Rattus norvegicus: one gene and its partners. The protein of the gene in region 1 purifies or fractionates together with the protein of each later gene. This does not show direct contact. Links are inferred from orthologs where the notes say so. Each region holds a gene or a part of one and is shown on either strand. Other genes may lie near its edges. The genes, in order: Rpap2, Polr2d and Pfdn2.

Region 1 (9,825 bases):
GAATGAGAGCTGAAAACAAACAGCCAAACCAAACCCACTTCACTTGTTGGCAAGCAGCACAAAGCTAGCAAGGCAGTAAGGAACTGGACTAGACCAGGAGAGGGTAACTCAGGAGAGTGCTGGGCTAGACCAGGAGAGGGTAACTCAGGAGTGTGTGCTAGGCTGAGCCCCTGCAGAGGGTAACTCAGGAGAGTGCTGGGCTAGACCAGGAGAGGGTAACTCAGGAGAGTGTGCTAGGCTGAGCCCCTGCAGAGGGTAACTCAGGAAAGTGCTGGGCTAGACCAGGAGAGGGTAACTCAGGAGAGTGCTGGGCTAGACCAGGAGAGGGTAACTCAGGAGTGTGCTGGGCTAGACCAGGAGAGGGTAACTCAGGAGAGTGTGCTAGGCTGAGTCCCTGCAGAGGGTAACTCAGGAGAGTGCTGGGCTAGACCAGGAGAGGGTAACTCAGGAGTGTGCTGGGCTAGACCAGGAGAGGGTAACTCAGGAGAGTGTGCTAGGCTGAGCCCCTGCAGAGGGTAACTCAGGAGAGTGCTGGGCTAGACCAGGAGAGGGTAACTCAGGAGAGTGTGCTAGGCTGAGCCCCTGCAGAGGGTAACTCAGGAGAGTGCTGGGCTAGACCAGGAGAGGGTAACTCAGGAGAGTGCTGGGCTAGTCCTGGAAGAGACAACTCAGACACTAAGGACCTCAGCAGAGAGTTTTCTAATGGAATCATAGGTCAGGGGATGCCCATGAAGGCGGGTTATGGGTAAAGCTTCCCAGTTGGAGGACAGACTTGGAAGGAATACACTCTGTAGCAAGGCTGACTCTTGAGGACTGCTGCCACCATTAAGTCCCCTCGAGTCCTGATCAGGTCATGGTGACGTGGGTTGCTGGGAATCTTGAGAGGTGAACAGCTCCATCCCTAGAGGATGATAATACTATCCTGAATCTCAGGTTAGGGTCTCCAATGCGCACAGACTGGCTGCAAAGTCGTGATCCTGCCTTGGCCTTCCAAACACTGGGGTTACAGGCACACACTGCCAAGTTCAGCTTACAGCATGTTAATAGACAATGTTTGATGTCTAATAAAATAAGACAATAGTGAAATGATATTACTGTTAAGTGCTATATTATATAATGCATATAAAGACATTTAACATCTTTGAAGAAAATGGAGTTGAAGCTTTTAGCAGACAGTTGGAGCCATGTGAGAGAGCTAGCAGACGCAGAAAGGACAACAGCAGTCAAAGCACTCATTGGGCAGTGGTGCGCAAAGCTCACATTCTCCCTGCTGACCCTGGGACCAGTGTCCGACATGGAGCACAATACCTGTGGCTGGCAGTGGTGGCAGCTGGGTCTCTGACAATGGTGAGGGAGTGGTGAGCATTTCCTCATGGAAGGCCTATACCAGGAGCTGCCACCACCTCCCTCTTGCTGCGTGTGGCTGTAGTGTTGGAGTTTGTAAGAGACGGAAGGCTGGCTGCTATGGGGAGCAGCCTTGAAGTCACCACTCAGTGCTGGGGGACTTTTCAGTGACACAGTTGTCTACGGAGCCTGTGAGTAATCCCAGCTCAGTCTTACGGAGTGAACCTAGATGGGAGCTTTCCTTGGATTTCTTTTCTACCGGGAAAGTCACGCAAAAGCTCATGGGACACAGGCTGGGGACTCAGGGCTAATGCATGTATGTAGTGTGTATGCACCATGAACTACAGGAATACCCACGAGCATGGATGTCTAGAACAAACCAAACTGAACCACGTGGTATTTATTATGACAAACTAGGCAACAAAGAATACAGGTTGAACCACGTGGTATTATAACAAACTGGGCAACAAAGAATACAGGCTGAACCACGTGGTATTATAACAAACTGGGCAACAAAGAATACAGGCTGTTCAAGAGCTGGCAAGGTAGTCTCCACTACTGTGTATGAGTAAACTGCAAACAGGCAATGGCCAGGGACAGACACTGATGCTCAGGTCTCCTTATAAGGAAGCACCTCCTGGTCTGGGGAGTGACGTCACAGGTGCTCAGTGTAAATATTCGACAGTCTGGACACTGATATTAAATGCCAATGAAAAAGCTGTAAAATGTTCTATAACAAAGTCACGGGCTTCAGACACTTAATTTTCTTTTTTAAGGCTTTGTAGTATGGAAAAACAGTGAGTGATGGTGGTTTATGCAGCTCACTGAAGAGACTAGTGTCCCTTCTAGCTTAATATAGGTTTGGATGCCATCTGATATTAGTACTGAGATTTCAAGTATGGTCCCAAGCCAGGCGAGAGTTCTGTAAAGGTGCAAGAAACTTTTTTCTAGCTCCACTTTCCCTCTCCAAATCTCTAGGTGCAACATCATGTCTTACACCTTAATAACAATTATACGGTAGAAATAGGCTGTTGCCCACTCTTTTCTGCATGCCATATGATTCCCAGGTAGTGCACATGAACCAAAACCATGAATGGCAAGGCACACAGCCCTCCTCCCTCCCTCCCTCTCAGCATGCACCCTGCCTGTATGTGTAACGCCTGTGAACCATGCTATCAGCAATGCCACACGCTCCGAACAAATGAAGGATGCAAGTCCATCTACAGATACGTGGTGTCAAAGAGCTAACTTTAAGAAGCTAGCAGATGACAGAGTGGATAATCAAATATCCATATCCATTTCTTCCCAGGAAGTTCCTTTCCTGTATTTTCATCTGTAACATTTTATCTTGCAAGTTTGTGAGGTGTTTATACATGTGTATGCGTGTATTCATGGGCATGTGAGCTTGAGAGGTGTTTATACATGTGCATATGTGCATTCATGGGCATGTGAGCTTGTGAGGTGTTTATACATGTGCATGTGTGCATTCATGAGCATGTGAGCTTGTGAGGTGTTTATACATGTGCATGTGTGCATTCATGGGCATGTGAGCTTGTGAGGTGTTTATACATGTGTATGCGTGTATTCATGGGCATGTAAGCTTGTGAGGTGTTTATACATGTGCATGCTGCATTCATGGGCATGTGAGCTTGTGAGGTGTTTATATATGTGCATGTGTGCATTCATGGGCATGTGAGCTTGTGAGGTGTTTATACATGTGCACGCGTGTATTCATGGGCATGTGAGCTTGTGAGGTGTTTATACATGTGCATGCTGCATTCATGGGCATGTGAGCTTGTGAGGTGTTTATATATGTGCATGTATGCATTCATGAGCATGTGAGCTTGTGAGGTGTTTATACATGTGCATGCTGCATTCATGGGCATGTGAGCTTGTGAGATGTTTATACATGTGTGTGTATGTGTGTATTCATGGGCATGTGAGCTTGTGAGGTGTTTATACATGTGCATGCGTGTATTCATGGGCATGTAAGCTTGTGAGGTGTTTATACATGTGCACACGTGCATTCATGGGCATGTGAGCTTGTGAGGTGTTTATACATGTGCACATGTGCATTCAGGGGCATGTGGAGGCTGGACATCAATGCTGTGTGTCTTCTTCTATCACTGTTCTCCACCTTAGCTTTTAGATATAGTCTCTTACTGAACTTGAAGATGTCCCCTTAGACTGGCTGATCAGGGGCTACTGGAATCCACCTTCTCTGGCCATGCTGCCTAGCAGTGTCTAACAGATATACACATAGGTAAGCTGTGCCTAGCTTTTATGATTGCTAGGAATCTGAACCCAGCTCCTCAAGCCTAGGTAGCACATGCCTAATCTAGTAAGCCACCCCCCAACCATGTCTGTAACATTTCAAATGGACATGCTAACTACACGTCACCTAGACAAACATCTAAGCAACCGATCTGCTCTGTGAGTTCTCGAAATATGAGCAGCCTAAAACACTTATCATGAAGACCTACCTCTTTTGAGTCCTGAGACTTGGTACTGTCTTCATTTAAAACACAGCGTCCTCTGTAGAACTCCCTGACCCTCAGGTTCAACATCTCTGTTTCCTTTTTCAGGCTCTCATAACTTGGCAGTGGCTTAATGGCTGTATCTGAGCCTCTGAAGGGGAGTGTCTCATCCAAGGTGTTCTGAGCTTGACAGCTTATGTCATCTTCATCAAGTTCTTCATCAGGCCCAGAGGCTGCAGAGGGTTGCAGGCACACAGAACCATGGTCTTGGCCATATAAAAACTTCAGTGTTTCGTCTGTCTTCCATTCAGTCAGGGTGTCCTTTAGAACTCGGAGTAAATTTGCCTTTGCGACCTCAGGACGCACCTGCACCAAACCAGAGGCTGACCCAGACCCTGGGTTAGATTTGGCAAATTTGCTCCTGAAATGCTCAGCACTCTTCTTGCTTATCCCCACAAGAGTAACTTGTGATACACTGTGTTTATTTTCAGAAACTGTTGAAGTATTTAATCTGTCACACAAAGGGCCAGGTGAAGAAATCTGAGTGTTTTCTTTCTTTGCAGGAAGTTTACAAGTAGCTACTTTCTCCTGACTATCTAATCTACAATTAGACAACTGCTCCGTGACCTCTGACACGGTCTGTTCTCCGTGCTTGGAGGTCATTTTCTGAGCAGCCTTCTTCTTCACGGTGCTGCTTTGTCTGTGTGGCTGTGGTTTTGTGCCCACGGCCTTCGGTCTGTTTCCTGGGAGAAGAGAAGAAACAAAGCCTGGCCCCTCCTCATCGCTGGCACGCTCGTCGCTGGCACGCTCGCTCCAAGTGCTGGAGGAAGCAGGTTCACACTGTGCATCAAAGGCACCATAAGCATCGACATCTGCTGCTGTAACGGCGTCTCTGAAGAACTGTACGACCTCTCCAGAACAGCCACTGTACAGGGAGAAACCGTCAAAACCATGTCAATGGAAGAGGAATCTTCACACAGGTACACTCCGGATGCCGAAGGTGAGAACTGCTGGCCTTAAACAGCCTTACGTCTTATACTCTGACACTTAGATTTCAGAAGGCTTTCCTTTCCCCATGTCTAATACACGTGTGTCAGAAGGCTTCTTCTGCTTCCTTCTGTTTGATCCTAACATTTTACAGTTCTTAAAGCAGTGCAGTAAAGACTGTATCCTATCCGACAATTTTGTTGCCTGAAGAAAAGATTAATATTTTCTTAATTCTGCCTGGCCATTATACAAAAAATTTCATGTAATGAAAAAATACAAAAGCCACAACAGAAATGAAGTTGGCACATCAGCATGGTTCAATGGATGCTATTTAAATCTGAGAGCTCACAAATACAAACAAAATGGTAACAGCTGTCCCTGATTGCACCCTTTGTCTTTGAGATTCAGTTTAAATCAGATTAAGAATCCGGAGCAAAGGCAAAGCAGGAGCTGCTCTGGTTCGTGCTGGGACAAGCAAGCACACTTGTGAGAGCTCTGCTGCCTGGTCTAGGAGCACGCGGTGGGAAGGAACAGAGGTCACACTAGACAGCGAGACTGAAAGCAAGTCTAGTGGGAAACTGATCAGAAACTGATCGATCGAGATTCCAAAGTTCAGAGTCAGTCTAGGGGGAATCCATAAACTGATCGATCGAGATTCCAAAGTTCAGAGTCAGTCTCGTGGGAATAGAGAAACTGATCGATCGAGATTCCAAAGTTCAGGGTCAGTCTAGGGGGAATCCAGAAACTGATCGAGATTCCAAAGTTCAGGGTCAGTCTAGTGGGAATACAGAAACTGATTTGAGATTTCCAAAGTTCAGGGTCACATACAGTTTTTTACTAGAATCTAACCGACATCATTAGGCAAGTGACTTTTGGATAAGAAGAAAAGAAAGTTTAGGGGTTGGGGATTTAGCTCAGTGGTAGAGCGCTTGCCTAGGAAGCGCAAGGCCCTGGGTTCGGTCCCCAGCTCCGAAAAAAAGAACCAAAAAAAAAAAAAAAAAAAAAAAAAAAAAAAAGAAAGTTTAAGAAATTCCACTAGGGGGGTTGGGGATTTAGCTCAGTGGTAGAGCGCTTGCCTAGCAAGCACAAGGCCCTGGGTTCGGTCCCCAGCTCCGAAAAAAAGAAAAGAAAAAAAAAAAAAGAAATTCCACTAGGGAGGACATGGGTTCAATGCCCAGCACTCAGGTGGTTCACAACTACCCTTAACTCCAGATCCAGGGATCCAACAGCTGACCGCCCAGTGCCCACCAGGCAAGCATATATATATATATATATATATATATATATATATATATATATATATATATATATATATATCTCACATCAACATACACGCAGGCAACACTTACACATATAAAAAAAATGAAATACATAAAAAAAGTTGCCTTCCAGTCTCCAACTGTGCTCCAGAGCTAACCCTGTGGCACAGCTCTCCACACCCGAATCCATCCTGGAGAGAACTGGTCTCCCAGGAGTGCTGACACACCTAAGATCACAGGCTCACAGGCCCACAGGAGGGACAAGCTCTAGTCAGAGACAGCAAGACCAACTAACATCAGAGATAATGGCGAGAGGTAAGTGCAAGAACATAAGCAACAGAAACCAAGACTACATGGCATCATCAAAACCCAGTTCTCCCAGCACAGCAAGTACTAGATACTTTAACACACCTGAAAAGCAAGATTCGGGTTTAAAATCACATCTCATGATGATGATAGAGGACTTTAAGAAGGACATACATAACTCCCTTAAAGAAATACAGGAGAACAGAGGTAAACAGGGGGAAACCCTTAAAGAGGAAACACAAAAATTCCTTAAAGAATTACAGGAAAACACAACCAAACAGGTGAAGGAATTGAACAAAACTATCCAGGATCTAAAAGTGGAAATAGAAACAATAAAAGAAATCACCAAGAGAGTCATCCCTGGAGATAGAAAACCTAGGAAAGAGATCAGGAGTCATGGATGCAAGAAGAATCACCAACAGAATACAAGAGATAGAAGAGAGAATCTCAGGTGCAGAAGATACCACAGAAAACATTGACACAACTGTCAAAGAAAATGCAAAATGCAAAAATCTCCTAACTCAAAACATCCAGGAAATCCAGGACACAATGAGATCAAACCTAAGGATAATAGGTATAGAAGAGAGCAAAGATTCCCAACTTAAAGGGCCAGTAAATATCATCAACAAAGTTATAGAAGAAAATTTCCCTAACTTAAAGAAAGAGATGCCCATAAACATACAAGAAGCCTACAGAACTCCAAATAGATTGGGCCAGAAAAGAAATTCCCTCCAAATGCACAAAACAAAGAAAGAATATTAAAAGCAGTAAGAGAAAAAGGTCAAGTGAACATATAAAGGCAGACCTATCAGAATTACACCAGACTTCTCACCAGAGACTATGAAAGTCAAAAGATCCAAGGTAGATGTCATACAGACCCTAGACCAGAGAACACAAATGCCAGCCCAGGCTACTATATCCAGCAAAACTCAATTAACATAGATTTAGAGACCAAGATATTCCATGACAAAACCAAATTTACACAAATCCAGCCCTACAAAGGATAATAAAAGGAAAACTCCAACACAAAGAGGGAAACTACACCCTAGAAAAAGCAAGAAAGCAATCTTCTTGCAAGAAACCCAAAAGAAGAGAGACACACAAACACAATTCCACCTCTAACAACAAAAACAATAGGAAGTGACGATCACTATTCCTTAATATCTCTTAACATCAATGGATTCAACTCCCCAATAAAAAGACACAGACTAACAGACTGGATATGTTAAGAGGACCCAGCATTCTGCTGCATACAGGAAATGCACCTCAGTGACAAAGACAGACACTACCTCAGAGTAAAGGTCTGAAAAAATATTTTCCATGCAAATAGTCCCAAGAAAGAAGCTGGAGTAGCCATTCTAATATCGAATAAAATCAACTTTCAACCAAAAGTTATCAAAAAAAAAAAAAAATAAGGAAGGACACTTCATACTCATCAAAGGAAAAATCTACCAGGATGAACTGTCAGTTCTAAACATCTATGCTCCAAATGCAAGGGCACATTCCACATTCATAAAAAAACTTTACTAAAGCTCAAAGCACACATTGCATCTCACACAATAATAGTGGGAGACTTCAACGCCCTACCTTCATCAATAGACAGATCACGGAAACAGAAACTAGACAGAGACACAGTGAAACTAACGGAAGTTATGAACCAAATGGATTTAACAGATATCTATAGAACATTTCATCCTAAAACAAAAGAATACACCTTCTTCTCAGCACCTCATGCATGGTACTTTCACCAAAACTGACCATAAAATTGGTCACAAAACAGGCCTCAACAGATACAAGAAAACTGACATGCGTCCTATAAGATCACCACAGACTAAGGCTGGTTTTCCAAAACCAACAACAACAAAACAACAGGAAGTCCACATACACGTGGAAGCTGAACAATGCTCTACTCAGTGATAACTTAGTCAAGGAAGAAATAAAGAAAGAAATTAAAGACATTTTAGAATTTAATGAAAATGAAGGCACAACAAACCCCAACTTATGGGACACAATGAAAGCTGTGCTAGGAGGAAAACTCATAGCTCTAAGTGCCTCCAAAAAGAAACTGGAGAGAGCACACACTAGCAGCTTGACAGCACACCTGAAAACTCTAGAACAAAAAGAATCAAATATACCCAAGAGAAGTAGACAGCAGGAAATAATCAAACATGGCTGAAATCAACCAAGTAGAAACAAAAAACTATACAAAGAATCAACAAAACCAGGAGCTGGTTCTTTGAGAGAAATCAACAAGATAGACAAACACTTAACCAGACTAACCAGAGGGCACAGACAGAGTATCCAAATTAACAAAATCAGAAATGAAAATGGAGACATTACAACAGAAATCAAAGAAATTAAAAAACAAAAAACAAAAACAAAAACATCAGATCCTACTATAAAAGCCTATACTCAACAAAACTGAAAATCTGGAGGAAATGGACAATTTTCTAGACAGATACCAGGTACCAAAGTGTAAGCAGGATCAGATAAGCCATCTAAACAGTCCCATAACCCCTAAAGAAACAGAAGCAGTCATTAAAAGTCTCCCAACCAAAAAAAAAAAAAAAAAAAAAGCCCAGGGCCAGCTGGGTTTAGTGCAGAATTCTATCAGACCTTCAAAGAAAGCCTAATAGCAATACTCTTCAAACTATTCCACAAAATAGAAACAGAAGGAGCACTACCCAATTCGTTCTAAGAAGCCACAATTACCTTTATACCTAAACCACACTAAGACCCAACAAAGAAAACTTCAGACCAAGTTCCCTTATGAATATCGATACAAAATTACTCAATAAAAAACAATTCTTGCAAACTGAATTAAAGAATATATCAAAGTGATCATACATCATGATAAAGTAGGCTTTATCCCAAGGATGCAGGAATGGTTCAATATATGGAAATTCATCAACATAATCCACTATATAAACAAATTCAAAGAAAAAAAACCCACATCATCATTTCATTAGATGCTGAGAAAACATTTAACAAAATTCAACACCCCTTCATGATAAAAGTCCTGGAAAGTTCAGGAATTCAAGGCCCATATCTAAACATAGTAAAAGCAATATACAGCAAACCAGTAACCAACATCAAACTAAATCGAGAGAAACTTGAAGCAATCCCACTAAAATCAGGGACTAGACAAAGCTGCCCACTCTCTCCCTACTTATTCAATATAGTCAGAGCAATTAGACAACAAAAGAAGGTCAAAGGGATACAAATTGGAAAGGAAGAAGTCAAAATATCACTATTTGCAGATGACAGGATAGTATACTTAAGTAACCCTAACAATCCCACCAGAGAACTCCTACAGCTGATAAACACCTTCAGCAAAGTGGCTGGATATAAAATTAACTCAAACAAATCAGTAGCCTTCCTCTATTCAAAGGATAAACAGGCTGAGAAAGAAATTAGGGAAACGACACCCTTCATAATAGTTCCAAATAATA
Region 2 (10,513 bases), on another chromosome or scaffold:
CCCTTGAGGTGAAAGCAGGGCAATCAAGAGCTCAAGGAAAGCCTTGGCTACCTGAGACTGCCACCAGCAAAGCACAAAACCAACCCCCAAGTCCCATCTCAAACACCACTCAACTACACTCTTACTCAACGCTAGCATGGCATCAACCCAACTGCTAAACGCTTACGACATGTGGATCTAGCAATCTGACTTAGAGAAATCCATATAAAATAGACAAACCCCATCCCATCCCGTACGAACCTTGGAATCAGCGCTTTGGACTCCTCAGCAGTCTCCGGGCACAGATTGGCTAAACAAGCCAATTCAAACTTATGTAACTTCTTCTGGAGAAGCAGGCTGAGTGTGAGGGAAATAGAACACAGGACGTTAGAGAGGGACAGAGACAGGAAATGAGCACGATCTATACTATACTATATACCTGAATAAAAATGTCACAATGGAACCTGTAATTACCTGCAGTTATATGCTAATACGAAACAAAAAACTACAGTCTCATTCAGTGCTGGTCAAATGCTAAGTCCATCAATAGCAAAAAGATCAAATGTAGGTGAGAAAAGGTATTTATAATCTTTGATTGTGGCTATATGGGCATCAGAATCCCCCTTTGAAATCACTTTCTGTTCCTACCCCAGAAAATCAAGACGTTCCAGAAAAAGAAAACAAAGAACCCACCGTAGACAGCCAAGAACCCTGAGAAGAGCACAGCTGGGTAAAGAGGAATGTATGTGCTGTAACTACTGCCAAGAAACCAGTAGTTGAGAGTTGCTCTTTTCAGAGGTCCCGGGTTCAATTTACAGTACCCACATGGTGGCTCACAACTGTCTGAAATTCCAGATCCACTGGATCTGATACCCCTCTTTGGACTCTGCCAGTACTAGGCACTTGTGTGGTGCAGAGGCAAACACACACATAAAATAAAATGCAATAATAAATATTCAAGGGGCTGGGGATTTGGCTCAGTGGTAGAGCGCTTGCCTAGCAAGCACAAGGCCCTGGGTTCGGTCCCCAGCTCCAAAAAAAAAAAAAAGAAAAGAAAAGAAAAAAAAATAAATAAATATTCAAAAGGAAGTGACTCTCTAGCTCTTTGCTCTATCTGCTACCTTTGATAAGTTAATGTTAAGCAATTCAGGAGATCTGATTGGCTAGCCTATTGCGTATGTTGAGGGAAACTCCTCTCCTTTAACTTTGAAATACCCCAAACTCTGTGCAAATCTGTGTGTAAGCTGCACCTTCAGGATCTCCATAGCCTGCACTATAAAATAAAGCTTACGAGAGAATAAGTTTGGTTTCCAAATGAATGTAGTAAGAACTTATATACTCTGGGGGACTGGAAAAATGGCTCGGCAGTAACAGCATCTGCTAATTTTCAGAGGACTTGAGTTAACAACTGCACTGGGTGGGTCCATGTGTCTACAACTCCTCTCTGGCCTCTGCTAGTGCTGGCACTGAACACACATGGTGCACATATATACAAGCGTGTATATACATATAAACAAAATAACAAAAAATGATTTTCTGTGCCTAATAGCACACATTCACAGCAGCCTGGTCTACACAGCATGCTCTTCACTAAACAGAGATACAAATCTGTCTCAGTAATAATAACGATGACAATAATATAAATTTTTTCTAAAAAACAAAAGACAGTGTGGTGTTCGACACCTTTAATCTCAAAACAGGTGGATCTCTGTGAGATAGAAAACAACCTGGTCTAATATGGAGTTCTAGACCAGCCGGGGCTAGATAATGAGACTCTGCCTCAAAAAAAAAAAAAAAAAAAAAAAAAAAAAAATATATATATATATATATATATATATACACACATATATATATACACATATATATATATCCAAGTTATATAAAGAAATCCCCTCTCCCCGCCCCCTCATGTGTGTGTGTGTGTGTGTGTGTGTGTGTGTGTGTGTGTGTGTGTATGTGTGTGTATAAAATAAAAATAATATTGCTGATGCCAAGTGCATACTGACTGGAGCCTGATATAGCTGTCTCCTGAGAGGCTCTGACAGAGGCAGATGCTCACAGCCAACCACTGGACTGAGCACAAGGTCTCCAATGGAGGAGTTAGATAAAGGACTAAAGGAGCCAAAGGGGTTTGCAACCCTACAGGAACAATATCAACCAACCAGATTCCATCCCCACAGAGCTCCCAGAGACTAAACCACCAACCAAAGAATACACATGGAGCGACCCATGTCTCCAGCTACATATGTAGCAGAGGATGGCATTGTCTGGCATCAATAGAAGAGGCCCTTGGTCCTGCAAAGACTGGATGTCCCAGTATAGGGGAATGCCAGGGCAGTGAGCTGGGAGTGGGTGGGTGGGGGAGCACCCTCGTAGAAGCAGGGGTTGGAGAGATGGGATAGAGGAGTTCCAGAGGGGAAACTGGAAAGGGGATAACACTTGAAATGTAAATACATAAAATATCCAATAAAAAAAATAATAAAATAAAAATGAATACAAGAAATCGTACCTGGAGGGCAGCGAGTGCATGATGGCATATACTAGTAACCCCAGAATTTGTGATGCAGTGGAGAAAATTTTGACTGAGTCAAGTCTGAGAGCCTTTTTTCTGGTAGGCAAAATTTGGGGGTGGGGGTGGGGGCTTCAAGCCCTTGATTACTTTTTTTTAACAGGTTCTATCTATGTAGTCCTGGAACTTGCTATGTAGACCAGGCTGGAGTCAAACAGAGATTCTCCTGTCTCTGTCTCTCAAATTCTGGGATTAAAGGCATACCCAGTTAGGGTTTTTTTGTTTGTTTGTTTGTTTTTCCCCTAAGTATTTGTGTGTGGTCTGTTTATTTAGCCATTTGTGTGTATGTGTAAGTGCGTAAGCATACATACTTAGAAGGCAACTTCTCATTCATTCTCAGAGCTTCTGGGTGCATCTGGGGTTCTATATAAGCTCAGGTCCTAAGACTTACCCAGAAAGCACTTTTGGTTGCATTTGTTTGTTTGTTCTATAGACCAGGCTGGCATCGAACTCAGAGATATGCTTGCCTCTACCTCCTGAGTGCTGGGTTAAAGGGGTGCACCACCACCTCTTGGCTGAAGCATGTTTTACCCACTGAGCCATCTCAGCGGCCCCTGCTTTGTTAGCATTTTTAAAACAGCGTCTCATGCAATCAAGGCTGGCTTTGAACCTACTATGCCCCTAAGGATGCCCTTGAACTCCTGGATCCTACAGCCTCTGTCTTTCACGAGAGTCTATAATAATAAAACCGTTTTGTAGGGCTGGAGATGCGGTTCAGCAGCTGAGGGCACCAGCTGCTCTTTCAGAGGACTTGGGTTTCGAGTCCCAGCACCTACACAGTGACTCACGACTGTCCGTAATTCCAGCCCTGGGGAGCTAACGCCCTATTCTGGCCTCTGTGGGTGTTTACACACATGGTGCACAGACATACAAGCAGCCAAACTCCCATAACACATACATAAGTAGATTTTAGTTTTGGGCTTATGTTCAGTACTCACCTACGAACACTGGCAATGGTCTCTCTGTTTTTGAACCGGCTGAAACGGGCTGTATAGTTCAGGGTTTTCATGAAAACCTCTGAAAGCTCCTGTTCGTCCTCCGCACTCTCATTCTGCTGCTTTCGGTGCTCCAGAAGCATGTGAACTTCAGAGTTCAGGAGCGTCTCAGCTGTTTCGAACTCTGGAAGAAGAATAAATGTGAACTGAAAATACTCTTTTCAAAGTCTCAGCATTTGGGAGGCAGAGGCAGGATGATCTCTGTGTTTGAGGCCAGCCTGGTCTATTATTGATGAGCTGTAAGATAGCCAGAGAGACTCAAAAACACCAAACAAACGAAACCAGAAGGCTAGAGAAATGAGCATGCACTGCTCTTTCGAAGGAAGTTCAATTCTCAGCACCCCATCAGACACCTCATAGCACCTCTCCCCTCCTCAGATACCTGCACAGACATAATTAAAATAAAAATAAATTTTACAACAGTGACATAAGGGCTGGAGAGACGACAGCTCCGCACTTAAGAGCATTGGCTAATCTTCTAGAGGATAAGGGTTCTGCCACACACAGCACCAACAAGATGGCTCGAAATCATCTTTTAAGTCCAATTAGTACATCTGGCTTCTATGGACACCTCACATGCATGCAGACCTACACGCAGGCAAAATAATCCTTATATATAAAAATTTAAAAACAAAGATTCTCCATCTCAATTAAAAACACACACAAAAGACAGAAGATAACCTCACTTGCTGGGGCTGGGCAGATGATTAAGTGGATAATGTACTTGCCACTCCAGTGTAAGAAGCAGAGTTAGGATCCTCAGAACCCACAAAACAGGTACAGAGGGTTCCTATATCTAACAGTTGGTAGGAAGAGACAGGGGATTGATTTCCTGGGGCAAGGTGACTAGTTTAGACTAGTTTAGTAGCAGGAACAGCACTATGCACAGAGGCTGGCACACATCCGACAAAAGGAAGTACCAGACATCCCAAACCGGAACCCATCTTGCTCTCAAACGTTCTTCCTAACTCGAAAAGCTACAACGAAGGTTCAGAAACCAACGGCAACAGCATCTCTCCTCAGAGGCCAGGGCAGAGAGCACTTCTGACCCACAGATCTTGAAACGCTTTGACTAGCACTGTGAGAGGAACCATAGCTCAGCTTTTACTGGCTGCCAATTTTGAAATGAGACCTCTGCTCCAGATCTTCTGCATGACAGGAAAAGGCATAGCTTAACTCCCCCTAAAAATCAAGAGCGATGGCGCATGCCTTTAATTCTAGCACTCAAGAGGAAAGGGCACGAATGTGATAAGGTGGAGGCTAGCCTAGGATACCTAATTAGACGCTCTCACAAAAACAAAACTGCTGGGTGTAGGGGAATTAACTACGAAAGGGTTCATTTGTACCGGGCTGACCAATCAATCCCCCGTGCCGGCCCCGAATGCTCCCTGTGGGCAGGGAACGGATAACGACTATAACTCAAGGACAATGTCACCTCAGAGTCGAACTGTCCCGGATACTACCTTTGGGAAAGATGAGCTGGGAAGCATCTTCTTCTACGTCGCCAGCTCGAGGATCGCTTCCACCTGCCGCCATCGCCCTGCGCACTGCCACAGACACTGCCGGAGACGGAAGCCGCACGGACGGGCTCTTCTAAGGAAAAGAACCAATCCGGCTCCGGGGTGGGGCCAAGTGAATGGGCGGGGCCGAGAAAGCGGGCGGACGACGGTAGGTCAGGCACCCTGCTATCACACTAGGGGAAACCCGCGAGACTGCCCGCGACAGGGGCGGTCCGGGCGCAGTCTAGCGGCTTCCGGTCGTTGGAGGTGTGGTTCTGTGCTGCCTGCTTGGAGATTAAAGTGTTTATTTTCGGCAACACACTATTGCCGTGGCACCTGGGAGCGTCAAGTAAGCCATTTCAGAAGAAAGTGAGGTGCAGGACTGAACTAAGTGGCTGATCCAAGGAATGTCCTATGTTGAAAAGCTGGGTAGGTGACTACAGAAACATACTGAAATCTCTTTCAATGATTGAATTGTGTCTTAAGAAAAAAAAAAAAAGACTAACCCCTGTGTGGTGGTAATGAATCAATCACTGAGCGCGAGGATCAAGAGTTGAAGGAGATCAGTTTGTAGTGGCGCATGCCTTTAATCCTAGCATGCCCGAGGCAGGCAAAGGCAGGTGGATCTTTTGAATTTGAGACTAGCCTGGTTTACAAAGTGATATAAAACCAGGGCTACATAGTGAGATCTTGTCTCAAAAAAAAAAAAAAAATTCACAAAGAGGCGTGGCTACTTAGCAAATTCCCAAGAATCCATGCCAGTTTAGGTAACATACCATCCTGTTAAATTGTTCCTGTGTATTTAACAATTCTGAGCAGGTGAAGTTTAATATTGAGAACCCTTTATCATATCTGTTGAGACATTTGAATAAGTAGAAAGCTAAATGAAAAAGTGATATTTTCAATTTAAAGAGAAACAAAAGTCTATACAATAAGGGGGACAAACACTTCTCCAGTTTTTGGGTCATTAGTGAACACTAGTAAACCCTGTAACTTAATAAAAAATGGGCTGGAGAGGTGGCTCTGTGGTTAACACTTGATGCTTTCAGAGGGCCTGGGTTCATTTCCCAGCACCCACACCAGATGGCTCACAAACACCTGTGACTTCAGCTACAAGGGATCTAAACCCTTTCTGGTCTCTCTTTTGGAGGTGAAACACACCATACACACCCTTCACATACACAGAAAATAAATCTTTTTAAAAATTGATAGAAGTATTTATTACAAGACAAGAAAATGTATTTTTATTATATATACAGAGGTGCACAGAAGAGATTAGAGGATAATTTTGTGGAATTTGTTCTCTGTTTCCAGTTTTGCATAGATTCTGGGGATTGAACTCAGGGCCTTTATCTGCTGCATGATCTCACTGGTCCAAGAATAGGTAGTCTTTTGGTTTGTAAATAAAATGAGTTTTACAAAACTGCTGTGTATCTATATTTGTAGAAGGAATGCATTGGTTAAAATAAATGGTTATATAGTATTGACAGCTTTTTAACCATTTCTCGGTGCTTTCCTGAACAGCATGTGAGAAATCACAACAGGGACTGGAGAGACCTCCCAGCAGTTAAGAGCATGGCTGCTCTTACAGAGGTCATGGATTCAGTTCCTAGCATCTACATGGTGTCTCGCACAGTCTATAACTATTGTCCATGGTGTTCTAGTGTGCAGACATACATGTAGACAAAATACCCATACTCATAAATAAACCTTAAAGCATAAGACCTTTATAACAGACATGCTCCAGCTTATCAGAACTCCTGCAAAGATATTCAGGGCAGTAGTTCATAGTCATACTGCACCTAGGTAGTAGAAATGGACTTGAGATTCAGTACACACACACACACACACACACACACACACATAATACACATACACATACATACACACATAATACACACATATACACATACACATACATACACACATATATACACACATACACATAATACACACATATACACATACACATACATACACACACATATATACACATACGCACATACACACACACACACACACACACACACACACACACACACACACACAGAGGCATGAAAGGAGGGAGGAGGAGAGAAGTCACCAGGCATAGAGAGAGAAAACAAGAGTAACAAAAACATAAAGTGACATTTCCCAGGTTGGCCCATGTGTACCATTTTCATTTAGGAAGCCATTATAAGCCATCTGTAAGTCCATGAGGTTAAAATGATGAGTAGGGTAAAAATCTGTCCCGAACATGAGCTCACTAAGAGTAGCGAGTGCAATATCTGACGGGTGATGTAACACAGTCAAAGAAGGTGCTAAGGAAAGATCAAGAGTCCGATGTTTGGCTGTAGTTTAAATGTGTCTCCTAAAGCTTCGTGTCCTGGAAGTCAGAACTGCGTAGGAGGTAGGGACTAGAACTGGAGAGGAGGTTCAGTTATGACAGTGCTTGCTTTTGCCAGCATGCGGACCCAGATTTCATCTGGGAGAAAGTTCGAGGGATATGAGTGGACAAGGAAAGGAAAAGCAGCCTCCCTTAGATTCCATGTTCACAGAAGAACATTTCTCATTGGGAGAAATGGCAGAGGAGCATGAGGACGGGCATCTAAACAGGAAGAGGCGATCCCAGGGGCCCCAGAAAATATTCAAACCACAGTCTACTCAGGAGTTCCAAGTGTTAGGCTTTTATTCCTTTTACTTCCCCCCTCTCCAGGGCTTGGTCTTCTGTCTGTCCCTGGTGTTCAGTTCTTTTTTTTTTTTTTTTTTTTTTTTTTTGGTTCTTTTTTTCGGAGCTGGGGATCGAACCCAGGGCCTTGCGCTTCCTAGGCAAGCGCTCTACCACTGAGCTAAATCCCCAACCCCTCAGTTCTTTGTCAGTATCAGGGCCACCAGCACCCTTGTTACAGATCATAAGAACCCACATAAAGTGCTCATTATCCCAGCCCTGAGAGGAAGAAGATATATACAATCCCAAGAGCTCTCGGGCCGTGTAAATCAAGGATGGTGAGAGACCTGCCTCAAAGAAATTGGATGGCATTCCTGAATAGGGATCCAATATCATTTTCTGCCATGTACATGGACACACGTGTACCTGCAGACACATGAACATCCATACACAGAAAGAGAGAGAGAGATGTCTTGGTGTCTAAAGGCACTTTCTACTAAGCCAGAGGAACTGAATTTAATTGGTAGGAGAAAACCGACTCCCAAAAGTTGTCCTCTGACCTCCATACATGCACCAGAGGCATATATGTGTGCATACATGCAAACTATAAAAATTGCTTTAATGAATTTTTAAAAAGAACTGAGGTCTAGTGGGATGCCCTTAGATATTGGGGGCATGGCCTTAGGAGGAATTAATGTATTTTGTACTCTTTGCACACCAGACCGTGCATCTCACCTTTATCATGTTCTCTTTCCCTTTTATATCCATGATGCCATGTGAAGGGAGGTCCTCACCAAAGCACCATGCCCTTCAACTTTCAGAACCCTGTGGTTCTGCAGGTTAAGCTTGATATGTAATCCTGACTGTCAACTTGAATGGCTTTTATCCACTGAACTTCATCTTTGCTCTTGTCAGGGATTCTGGCATTGTAAAAATCTGAGGGAGAAATGCACTTTTTGCTCCCACATAACACAGCTAAATGTCTTGATCATCTTGATTTTTTTTTTGGTAATTTTTTAGATTTGTTTATTATTTTGAATGCATAAGTGTTTTGGCTGTGTGTATGTCTGTGCACCGCTTGTGTGCCTGGTGCCCAAGGAGGTGGTGAGCTTCTGGGTGGGTACTGAGAATTGAGCCTGGGTCCTTTGAAAGAACAAGTGTTCTCAACCACTGAGCCAACTCTCCATCTTGTTAAGGATGGATTTACTGGCCAAGCAGGGGTGGTGCATGCCTTTAATCCCAGCACTCCGGAGGCAGAGGCAGATGGATCTCTCTGAGTTCAAGGTCATGCTGGTCTATGAAGGGAGTTCTAGGACAGCCAAAAAGCCTACACAGAGAAAGCCTGTCACAAAAACAAACAAACAAAAATGATGGACTTACTTTAACAAAGATTTGGAAAACTTGTCCTCCCAGGTACTGAAGTAAATAAGCAAGACATGACCAGAAAGACTTTCTCAGGAACATAATAGTGTCCTGCTACCTTCTCATGACTACAGGATGGAAAGCATCCCGGAAGTTGTGTTGCCTCAGGCAGAGCAGGTCTTTAAACTGAAGATCTGATGGGGCGGCAAATGCAGATGGTTCACTATAGTTGAGATTACGTAGTGAGTTCTGGGCCAGCCCAGGCTACATAGTGAAACCCTGTCTCAAAGTAACAAAACCTTCAGCTCTCAAGCCAGTAAGATGACTCTGATCTCATTGCTACCAAAGATCATGACCTGAGTTCAGTCTGAGACCCCACATGGTGGAAAGAGAACCAGTTCCCAAAAGTTAGATGCTCACACAGGTACAGGCACACAGATACACAAATTAAACAAACAGCCCAGGTCTCTGGACTGGGATATAACTCAATGGTAGAGTACTTGCCTAGCATGTGAAGTCTTGGGATCAATCCTCAGAAAGACACCACACACACACACACACACACACACACACACACACACACACACAAAGAAATATCAAGACAGCCTAAACTTGGAGGTTTTCAAGCCTAGATGTCACAGATTCTTTGGAGAATCACACAAAACTTCAAGTAGGCTCCATCCTTTTGTATCTCTGATTACATTAATAACGAAGGGAAGGGTTACATGAGCTGCATGGTCATGTGCCTTTCGTTGTACCTGGACCTTCTCTGCAACATTTACTAGCTGTCTTCCAACAGCAAGGAAGCTCTTTACTAAACAAAGCATCAACTCCCGAGAAAGTTGTTCTCTGACCTCTGACACAGGTACTGTGGCATGCGCACACACGCGCGCACACACACGCTCACACACACACACACACACACACACACACACACACACACACACGCACACACACACACACGCACACACACACACTCAAAAGGACAGAGGTGTAGCACACATAAACATGATTTCCCGGGACCTGGTTTTATATGTATTTTAGGCCTTGTGAACCTGAGTAAGCTCTAACTCATCACTAGTAGGTGGCACTCTTGCATGAATTCTGCTGTAGACTTAAAGCCACATAAAATAGGCTCTTGGAGCTAGGGATTTAGCTCAGAAGCGTGCTTGTCGATATGCATGAATCCCTGAGTTCTGACCAAGCACTTCATGAAGGTGGGGTGGTGCAGGCTCATCTGGAATCCCAGTAGATTTTAGCTGTAACTCTATAGCTAAATTTAAGGCCATGTCAGGATACATGAGAACTTGTCACCCCTCAAACAAGGGCAGAGGTAGAACTTGAAGGGTAGTGTTGGCATTTTTCAGTTGGACATACTCCAGTCAGTAACCCTAATAAACTAATTTTTTGCAAAGCTGGACTTGCCCAAAGTATCATTTGTAATCCCTGCAACTTCAGGAAG
Region 3 (10,462 bases), on another chromosome or scaffold:
GCCTGAAATCTAATACAATTCACAGGCTGTCTATGTACAAAGTGGAAATAGGTCAAGACAGTGGCCAGTAAGATGGCTCAACTGGTAAGGGGACTTTGCAGCCAATCTTGGCTACCTGAGTTTGATCCCAGGATGGACAAGGTGGAAGAAGAGAACAGCTGCTGCAAATTGTCCTTTGGCCACCACATGAGCATTGTGGCATTTCCACAAACACAAAATAAATAAATGCAAACCTGTTTCCCTCCCTTCCCAACCTGCCCCCCCCCAAAGAGGTTTACCAAGCAAGTGCACAAATTAGCACTGACAGAGAAAGCTGAGTGTTACTATTTACCATACAATGACAAAAAACGTTCCGAAGGCATTTTGGAGACCCTGGCTGTCTTTCCAATCATGGAACCAAAAGCTAGGGTCTTAAGGGCAGAAAGAACTCACAGCCCAGTATACCTAGCCTCTGCTCCTCACATCCCAGCATGCTCCATTATTTATTCAAGTACAGCTTGTACTGCAGCTGGAGAAAGCATTACTAGCAGTAACCTGTGGTAGTATCTATGCCTCGTGGTGCTAATTCTGGAGGCATGCAGAATGCAAGAGCTGTGGAGAAATGGCTTCCTCTACCAAAACTTCACAAGATGCACTGGACTGTGGGAGGTTAAACAGGGGTGCAAGGAAAACCCTGATGTAGGAATGGGAGCTGTCGGGGAATCCTCACTGGAACAAGCCCTAGGCCAGGCAGCCACCATGATCTCTAATAGTACAGCAACTGTCAGTGGACAGTGCCTAACCGGGCAAGCTGCAGGCACTGGTATGCCCCCAGCCCAAGTGCATGAAGCATGGACTGTGCCCTGTGGAGCTGTCTAGTATTTTAGAGGCCCAATTCCTGCCCCAGAGTTTCCAAATGCCATATATAGGGATAATTTATCATAGAACGGTAAGACCATGCCTGCCCTCTCGGAATTCAGACTTAAGGCTTTAACAGTAAAGCCTCCTCCTGGCTTTACTTCTCTCCTTTAGAACGGGAATGTCTACCCTCTGCCTGCCTCTGCATTACATGATGAACGTGCATATGCTACTCTCATTGCACAGGCTCACAACTGACCCTGGAATTTTGAGTTAGTACTGGAACAATGTAAGACTCTGGGGACTACTGGGACAGAATGATTGTATTTTACATTATAAGGTCATGAGTTTGGAGGGTAAGGGGTATAAAGCAGTGTTTGAGTAGGCTCTGTCCTCTTCGAAACACCTGTTGAACTTTGACAAGTGACAGGAATTTTCTTGTCTTTTTGAGATTCACACTGGCCTCAAATATGCTATTTAGTTGAGGATGAACTTGAACTCCTTTTTTCTTTTTTTTTTTTTTTTTTTTTTTTTTTCCCGGAGCTGGGGACTGAACCCAGGGCCTTGCGGTTGCTAGGCAAGCGCTCTACCACTGAGCTAAATCCCCAACCCCGAACTTGAACTCCTAATCCTGCCTCTCTACCTCTCCCCCAAATACAGGGGATCTCTTACAGGCGTGTACATCACAATCTACTTTGCAGCAGGGCTTTTCAGTTGTTTAGTTCATTATTATATGTGTGTACATAATGTTTATGTGTCTCGATTTGGGGGAGCTAAAGAGATGGCTCAGCAGCACTTGTGGCTCTGCACCTACATGGAAACCCATAACTATCACTGTCTCTAACTCCAGAGGATCCAATGCTCTGACCCCCACAGTCCAAGGTCACCAGGCACGCATGTGGGTGGCTGGCTGGCACATGCGCACACATGCACACGCACACATGCACGCGCACACGCGCACATGCACGCGCACACGCGCGCGCACTCACTCCTCCAAGTGCTGTGGTACACCTGGGAGATCAAAGCAGGAAGAATGCCACAAGCCCTAGACTAGCATGGTCTACATAGCAAGTTCCAGGCTAGCCAGGGCTACAGAGGGAGATCCTCTCTCAGATAAAACAGCAGCAAACCAATAAACAATAAATAGAAATAGGATAAACCGAAAATAAAACAAGGGCCTAGTAGAAAGTATGACCTGCTCCTATCTTCCTTGTGAAAGTCACATCAGGCTTGAATTTGTATCAGTGACAAACACTTAAATTGGGAAGAAAAGTTCCACAGGTAAAGAACCAAAGAACCAGAGTTTGAGAACTTGGGGGGTGGGGGAGGTATGGTATTGAGGCATGAACTGCCTGGCAATGGAATGCTAGGGAACTTAAATTCTGAGGCTTGTTATCCAAGTGCTGGGGAAGAGAGGGTCAATGGACTCTCTGGCCAGCCATCCTAGCCTGGCTGGTGAGTTCTAGGCCACATGAAAAAAACTTGTGTCAAAGAACAACAAGGCTGACTGTGTCTTCTTCAAGTCTTGCAATACAGCTCTTTTAAATCTTCCAGCATTTCCAAGGCCGGGCAGTTCATGGCTCAAGGCTTATGAACACATTTCTTCTAACGAAAAAAAAAAATCCTCACATTGACTAACTTTCCTCAGCCTTTAGAATTAAGCTGAAGAATCCTCTAGAAAATAAAAACAAATTAGCATTTAGAAAGATTGTTCAGATCATGTGCATGTATGTATGTGTTTGTGTGAGATGAGGTGCTCAAGTGCAGAAGCCATCTCTCCACCCCTAACTAGCATTTAGTCAACACACTCTGTAGTCTCTGTTTTTTAGTCATGGTGATGGGGGGGGAGGGTGTCGAATGAATTTTCTTGCCTAGTACACTAAATAGTTATGAAATGGGAAGTACATGTTTTCACAGATAGAGGAGGGTAAAAAGTAAGAAGAGAAATCATGTGCAGAAGTTTTTGGTGTAAGGACTGGAGCAATGGCTCGGTGGAAGAACTGTTACTTCTATAGCAGAAGGCCTGGGTTTGGTTCTCAAGACCCACATGGTAGCTAATAAGCAGTTATCAGGGGCTTGGACCCCTCTTCTGGCCTCCAATGGCTCCTGCACAGGTGTGGTACATGCACACACTCAGACATGCAAATATACATAACATATTTTTGAAGTCTCGTTGTTTCATTTTTATTTGCCATTCTGTCTGTCTTGTTTGTTTTTGAGATTGTGTTTCACTCTGTAACCTAGGCTAGCCTGGAACTGAGAGGGTAACCCATTGGGATTATGGGTATGAGCCATCACACTTGGCTGTGTCCAAATTTAAGATAAAGTCTATTTCACTTACCTGTTTCTCTGTGTTAAGCAAAGTATAACACAAGACAGACTCTCAAAAGCTTTACTTTTTTTCTTTCCCACTGTCAAGGTGCCTCTTCCATCCCCAGAATGTCACTTCTCTTTGAATACTTACTTTCCGACTCATAGTAGAACTGTAAACCCCACTTCAACAGACGATGCTCTCCAACAGTATGGGTTTTAAACTATTTCTGCTGATACTTTTTTTTAAAGATGTATTTATTTATTATATATAAGTACACTGTAGCTATCCTCAGACACACCAGAAGGCATCAGATCTCATTACAGATGGTTGGGAGTCACCATGTGGTTTCTGGGATTTGAACCCAGGACCCATGGAAGAGCAGTCAGTGCTCTTAACGGCTGAGCCACCACTCCAGTCCCTATGCTGATACTTTTACCTGCAGTGATTGCTCAACAAGCAACTGACAAATATATGATTAAAATAGCTCTTCAATCCCAACCCTGGACCTCCATACCAGGTGAGAACAGACACCCACCCAGACCCCACACCTCAAGGCTTTCCCATTTAACCCACCAAACTACACCCCTAGCTTCAACTATTTTCATTTCGATTGTGTGTTCTTCTTCTTCTTTTTTTTTTTTTTTTTTGGTTCTTTTTTTCGGAGCTGGGGACCGAACCCAGGGCCTTGCGCTTCCTAGGCAAGCGCTCTACCACTGAGCTAAACTAAATCCCCAACCCCAATTGTGTGTTCTTCTAATATCAATTAAACACTAGTCCCAAGACTAACAAAACATGGTCCCTATACCACAAAGGGCTTTCTGATTAATTCGTCAGATGTATCCCGATGTTATGAAGAGCAGAATCACACCTGCATTAGAAAATGGTTTCTAGCCTCTTCTGAAAACTTAAGTCTCTGCAGAAGGGAGCATAGAGAGTGAGCTGGACCATGTCTCAAAAAACGAAAACAACCCGAGCCAGGAATAGTAGTCCCAGATAATCCCAGTATTTGGGAGGCAGAAACAAGCGAATCTCTGTGAGTTCCAGGCCAGCTTGGTCTACATAGTGAATTCCAGAAAAGCAAGGCTACATAGAGCGACCCAGCCCGACCCTATAGCAACCCTCATCCCCACCCCAAGACAAAACAAAAACAAAACAAAACAAGAAAATAACTAAGCCACAGTCTCCTTAGTCCAAATAGTTACTGAACACTAAACTGGTCAGAGTCTGAGTCACGTGGCTCTGCAGCGTGTTTGTGATGGTGAACACGGTTTTGGAGTCAAAGACTAAATAACCCACTCACTGACTAAGAACAGCCTGGGATTCGTTACTAGATGACACTTCAAACACCATATTCTCTTTAGGGTACCTCGTAGAGGGGGAGACGACGATCCATGTCCTTAGGGACCTGGACAACCCTCCCAGATCCTGCATCTAAGAGCTTTCTCTCTCGACTACCCACCCACACCCCGGGCGTGCCTCTCACCTACCTACCCCACCTACTCACGCCCTAGAAAGGATTGTGATCACCCCCAAAAACGCCCTCTCCCCTGTGCGTGACCACGGAGAACGTGGGAAGGACTAAAGGCCCCTCTGAATCACAAGTCCTTTTCCTTGCACGAACTCGACACCGACCCAGGTGCCTTCTACGCTCGCGGTTCCTCACCTGTTCCGCCGACACCGCCCCCTTCCCCGTGCCACTCCCGCCGCTCTTGCCCACACGACCGCTGCTGTCCGCCATCTTCCCCACCTGCAAGCTTTCCGGCCTGCGCACTCCCACTGCGTCACATCCGCTCTAGTGGTTACCGCCCACTTGCTCCTGCGCTTCTGGCTTCTGGCAGCTCTTCAGATCCGACCCTGCGAATGGTTTTGGCTGTGTCTTCATGTAGGACCTACTCCCCAACCCTGCCTGCTGCGGTGAATTCCACCTGCTATGCTTTAACTTGTGCAACAGAGATTCTTGCCCCGGGGAGAGCCGGGGAAGGACGCGCTAATCAGAGGGCGGGGGCTCGGGTTGGGATCTGATCTTGTACCCATCTACCTACCCACCACGAGAATGGTGGAGATCTAAGGAGGGTGAACTTTCCTTCTGAGATTCTGGTACAAGGGGAAAGATACATGTTGAGTCTATAAAGCTGTCCAGGTGGCACAGCCGAGAAGAGAGAATTGGGGAAACGAGGAAGGTTCCATGAGATGACTTGAACTGCGGAAACGTTTGGCAGAGGAAAAGGGCTTCAGTTTTAATGTGAGATCACTGGAAGTTGAGGTATTAAGGCACCGATCATAGTGTCCTCTTCCATTTTCCCATTTTATGATCTCATAACTACTAGTAGTAAAGTGTTTTCGAAGCCTTGGGGGAGGGGATTACTGGCCAGGTCTGGAAATGGCAGAGAATTCTAGAAACTTACAGCTTGAAGGAGGGTTAGGTGTCCTGATTTTTCACCTTCTTCAGGCTGGGCTTCATCACCAGGCCTCCTCATCAACTCCTGTCCCTTCTGTGTACCGGATACCGATTACCTCAAATCTCAGTACTTTGTACTCAGCCCAGGTAACATATTTTATGTTCTTTGTCTAGCACGTAGTTGCTAAGTCCATGTTTATTAACCGAATAGTGGACCTGCCATCCACCAAACATTTAATGCGTGTACTCCAGTAGCTTAGGGTTATTTAATGCTCTGGAAGAATGAAAACAAGTCGCTAGGGTTGGTGGGACACACCTCTAATCCCAGCACTCGGGAAACAGGCAGGAGGATCAACTAGGAGTTTAAGATCATCCCCGCTACATAGAAAGGTCTGCCTGGGCTACAAAAAGACCCGGTCTCAAAGGGGAGGTAAAATCAGAAAAAAAAAAAGTAAGTTTCCGGCTCCACCCCCACTTGAGCCTCCCAAGTTTCTCCGCGGCACGCGGTAGAAATCCTGAGAAAACTGCCTGTGTCATTCACAGGCCCAGAGCCATGGCAGAGTCCTCATCGACTTCCTGGGAGCTGCCCCTGGTGGCTGTGTGCCAGGTAACATCAACACCAAACAAGCAAGAGAACTTTAAAACGTGTGCTGAGCTGGTTCAAGAGGCTACCAGACTGGGCGCTTGCCTGGCCTTTCTGCCTGAGGCATTTGACTTTATTGCACGAAATCCTGCCGAGACATTACTCCTGTCCGAACCACTGGATGGGGACCTTTTGGGACAATATAGCCAGCTTGCCAGGTACAAGGGTAGGGTGGGGGTGGGGAGGGGTAGAATCCCTGTTGGGCAGTGTTCCTGGATTGCCACATAGAGGGGGTAGAGTTGTCAGTGTCCCTCCCCCTCAGGGAATGTGGAATCTGGCTGTCCTTGGGTGGTTTCCACGAGCGTGGCCAAGACTGGGAGCAGACTCAGAAAATCTACAATTGTCATGTGCTTCTGAACAGCAAGGGTGAGACTTCACAGTCCTTCAGCTTGCCTCTTCCTAGGCTCATCTACCTTCTTCCAACTCAGATCTTCAGCATTTTTCTCAACTGCTTGGCTTTAGGGGTTTTTTTGTTTTGTTTTGAATGCTTCTGTTCTTAGCCTAAAAATTACTCTTTGGGAGAAGAGCTAAGCTGGACTTCCAGTGTCTGTACTGAGCATTTTCTCTTACTTTAGGATCAGTAGTGGCCAGTTACAGGAAGACACATCTATGTGATGTAGAGATCCCAGGTCAGGGGCCTATGAGAGAAAGCAACTATACCATGCCTGGATACGCTCTTGAACCACCTGTCAAGACACCAGCAGGCAAGGTAGGAGTTTGAAAAGAAAATAGGAATATGTTGAAAAAGTTGTAACATCTCCCTTTGGTGTAGGATGATGGAGGTAGTATTCAATGTTACGTTGACCAGGACAGGGAAGATGAGTGGGTTGTTTCTCGTTTCAGGTTGGTCTAGCAATCTGTTATGACATGCGGTTCCCTGAACTTTCTCTGAAATTGGCTCAAGCTGGGGCAGAAATACTTACTTATCCTTCAGCCTTTGGATCTGTTACCGGCCCAGCCCACTGGGAGGTAGGAGAATGCCTCTTCATAACATATAGGCCTCCTTTAATCTTATTTTTAGTAGTGGGGACAGAGTAGCACAAACCTAAACTCTAAGCACTTCAGGGGATAGCCACAGGTTCAAAGCCAGCATAGTGATGCCTCGAGTAAAACAGAAAACAAAATAGAAGCTGGGCAGTGGGGGTGCACACCTTTAATCCCAGCCCTCAGGAGGCAGAAGCAAGTGGATCTGAGTTCAAGACCAGCCTGGTCTACAGAGTAGGTTCCAGGACAGCCAGGGCTACACAGAGAAACCGTCTCAAAACAAAACAAAACAAAACAAAACAAAAGTAACCCACACCACCCAAAATAGTGGTGCATGGTGGTGTGTGCTTTTTATCTCCGCACTGTAAGGCAGAGGCCGGCAGATCTCTGTGGGTCCAGGCCAACCAAGGTTATACAAGGAGACCTTATATAAAAAAATACAAAACACAAACACACCCCTCCCCTTCTACTTGAAGGATTTTCTTCCCTTCCGATCTGGTGAGGAAATTCGTTTCTTAGATAGGTGTGAGTCATGTTATAGTTAGTTACTAATTCTAGTTGATCAATAGTCAATGAGTAGATTGGGCCCACAGTGTCCGCTTCTTGTCACTCGCCTATTAAATGCTGTATGTTCCTGAGTACGCACGTCTCATCCTCAGGTGCTGCTGCGGGCCCGCGCCATTGAGTCTCAGTGCTACGTGATAGCAGCAGCACAGTGTGGACGCCACCATGAGACAAGAGCAAGTTACGGCCACAGCATGGTGGTTGACCCCTGGGGCACAGTGGTGGCCAGCTGTTCCGAGGGACCAGGCCTTTGCCTTGCTCGAATTGATCTCCACTTTCTGCAACAGATGCGCCAACACTTGCCTGTGTTCCAGCATCGCAGACCTGACCTTTATGGCAGTCTCCTGCCACTCTCCTAATGTTTTTAATTTCTGTTGGTTGAGACAGACAAACACACGCCAACTGTGAGGTGATGCTACCGTGACTTGTAGGCTGGACCCAAGCACGGTTCCCTTCACTTGCAGGACTTAACTCTCCTAATGGAACACAGGCTCAATCAAGTCCATGGGAAAGAAGAGACTTTGACCTGATCTCAGATTTCAGTTTCAGAAAAATGAAATTTTATATAGTCACTGTTTATTTCATGAAAACTGAAGTTGTGCTGAGGGCTGAGCAGCACTGGCATTGAAAAAAAATATAATAATCAATCATAATGTCTGGACATCTCTTTTGGGGCTGGGAAGGGAGGTGGAATTGTACCTGCTCGACTAGGCTTCTTAGTCTCCTGGCTCAAACGTGCCTCCCTACCTAACAAAGTGCAATGCTCAGTGCATGGACCAGCTCTGTTCTCCCAAGTGTGGGAGAAGGGAGGATAAAGGAACAGGAGGAGGAGTTGATGCTAAATACCCCACTTTCTCTCAAGCCAGAAGGAAGCAAAGGGACAGGGCCCTGGGTGGGGTAAGAGTTTGTTATTTTCACTGGAAAAGGGGAGGGAAATGTCACGCCCCCGCCCCTTCCTTTTCAGAGAAAGTGTACTCTAACTAGCAGCCTCTACTCCGCCCGTCCCATGTAGTGGTGTTCACCTACACATCACGGTTGGGAGGGGAAGTAGGCTGGCACAGCCCTCCATAAGTCTGCTGAAGATCTGACAGAGGAAGGAGGGATCCACACCAGGCAGCAGTCTCAAGCTATGGGATGAAGGAAGGCGGAGAGGAGCAGCACCCGAGGCCAGGAGACAGTGCAAAGGGCCACAGCTTCTTTGTTTTTAAAAAATTCTATAATTTGGAAGAAGGTGGTAATTAATTTCCAAAATACACTTCAGAGTCCCACCTTCCACATAGCTCCTTTACTCACAGCCCTTTGGTTTTTCAGACAAAATTTATGAGCCCTCATAAAGCCATAAGTATTGATTACCCTTCAATGCACCTGAAAGCAGTGTTCAATCCCTTACAAAGGCTATGTTCCAAAGACTCTGTCCCTATTCACTTGTCTTACGGCTCAGTGGTAAGGTGGCTGTAGACACACATTAGGGTAAGTGGCAACAGGAAACGGGGAAGCCCAGGCACATGGGTGCAGGGAGGGCAGGGACACCACTTCCACCTTCCTTTGTCTTTTCCTTTAAAAAAAAAAAAAAAAAAAAAAAAAAGGCGGTGTGATTGGTTGGAAAGGGTAGAGAACAAACCCCAGAACAGTATGTCGGCTCCAGAGGTGACGGAGCAAACAGTCCCCAGAAAGGTGAGGCGGGGAAAGGTCAGGGTAATGCTTGCAGCATCAAGTTCCTCAGGAGTTTCTGTCGGCCCAGCTCATAGTCCTCCTCATCCACGTTCACCAGCAGCTTGATGGCTTCATGGCCCACAGCTTGCTTGAGAGAGTCTGTGATGAAAACGCCTTTCAGTGCCTCTAATAATGAGCCATTAATGTAGTCTCGCCAGAATGCGTCGAGGTAGGTGAGCTCAGAGAACTTGATGTCACAGATGATGGAGCCCAGGTCCCGGGACTTGAGGATAGTGTTGGCCTGGTTAAAGCGCTCAAACTGGCGCTCAAGTGGGTCCTGCTTATTAGAGAAGACATTGCCTTGCAGAGCAGTCTCGTGCTGGCAGTATTCCGCCCGAACTCGCAGCCTGATGTCTGGGAGAAATTTAAGGAGAATGGTTGTAAAACATGACTGTGTTTACAATGAAAGCTAGAAAAGCAGGCAAGAAGCACAGAGACCTCCTCTTGCAATGTCTTTACCTCTCCCCAAGCACTAGTTCTTCCTTGTGTCCTTGTAGCCCTGGCCTTAACGCTGGAGCTGCCCTACAATGAGTGTGTTCAGGTCACTCACAGACAGCACCGTGCTTAGAAGGCCTGTTTTATTAAAAAGTTGCACAGTTTAATTCTCTGTCTTGACTTGGTTCGTCTTATATAAGGATGACGTTGGCATTCCTTTAATAGTAACTAAAAAGAATTGTAATACGCCATTGCCAAAAAGATAACAGGTCTCATGCAAACTAAAGCTGACCTGAATACAGCACAGACTGCTTTGCACTGAATCACAGACTGCCCATCACCCCAGGAGTTCTTTATATTTTCCCTCAAGTCTACATCTCAAAAATCCTTGAATTTTCTCACCACATGTCTGCTTTTCCTTCGGGTCTGGAGTCACTGACTTCCGGCGTTTTCTCTGACTCCCAAGTGTGGTTCTCCCTCGGGCTGGCCGCTTACTACACATTTGAGAACCCGAAGTGGGGCAGCACACCACAGGATAGTGGGGAGGCACTGACCAGAAAGTAAATGGAAAACA

Evidence for each region.
Region 2: the proteins of Rpap2 (region 1) and Polr2d purify together in Homo sapiens (affinity purification with mass spectrometry; 5 studies listed by BioGRID and IntAct, counting the BioPlex papers as one, with this or other methods). This does not show direct contact. The link is inferred for Rattus norvegicus from reciprocal best matches to the Homo sapiens genes RPAP2 and POLR2D.
Region 3: the proteins of Rpap2 (region 1) and Pfdn2 purify together in Homo sapiens (co-immunoprecipitation; 3 studies listed by BioGRID and IntAct, with this or other methods). This does not show direct contact. The link is inferred for Rattus norvegicus from reciprocal best matches to the Homo sapiens genes RPAP2 and PFDN2.

What each region holds. Positions count from the first base shown.
Region 1 is NC_086032.1:2,298,715-2,308,539, forward strand, and holds part of Rpap2 (RNA polymerase II subunit B1 CTD phosphatase Rpap2), read right to left. Parts: intron 4,747-9,825; coding exon 3,828-4,746; intron 1-3,827.
Region 2 is NC_086036.1:23,687,199-23,697,711, reverse strand, and holds the start of Polr2d (DNA-directed RNA polymerase II subunit RPB4), read right to left. Parts: upstream 5,135-10,513; 5' UTR 5,080-5,134; coding exon 5,007-5,079; intron 3,668-5,006; coding exon 3,487-3,667; intron 337-3,486; coding exon 241-336; intron 1-240. UniProt on the Homo sapiens protein: Core component of RNA polymerase II (Pol II), a DNA-dependent RNA polymerase which synthesizes mRNA precursors and many functional non-coding RNAs using the four ribonucleoside triphosphates as substrates.
Region 3 is NC_086031.1:86,300,265-86,310,726, reverse strand, and holds the start of Pfdn2 (prefoldin subunit 2), read right to left. Parts: upstream 4,900-10,462; 5' UTR 4,890-4,899; coding exon 4,815-4,889; intron 1-4,814. Other genes in the region: Nit1 (deaminated glutathione amidase), read left to right, coding at 5,032-5,033, 5,601-5,696, 6,093-6,350, 6,455-6,558, 6,768-6,901, 7,036-7,161, 7,836-8,099; Dedd (death effector domain-containing protein), read right to left, coding at 9,431-9,807, 10,291-10,437. UniProt on the Homo sapiens protein: Binds specifically to cytosolic chaperonin (c-CPN) and transfers target proteins to it. Binds to nascent polypeptide chain and promotes folding in an environment in which there are many competing pathways for nonnative proteins.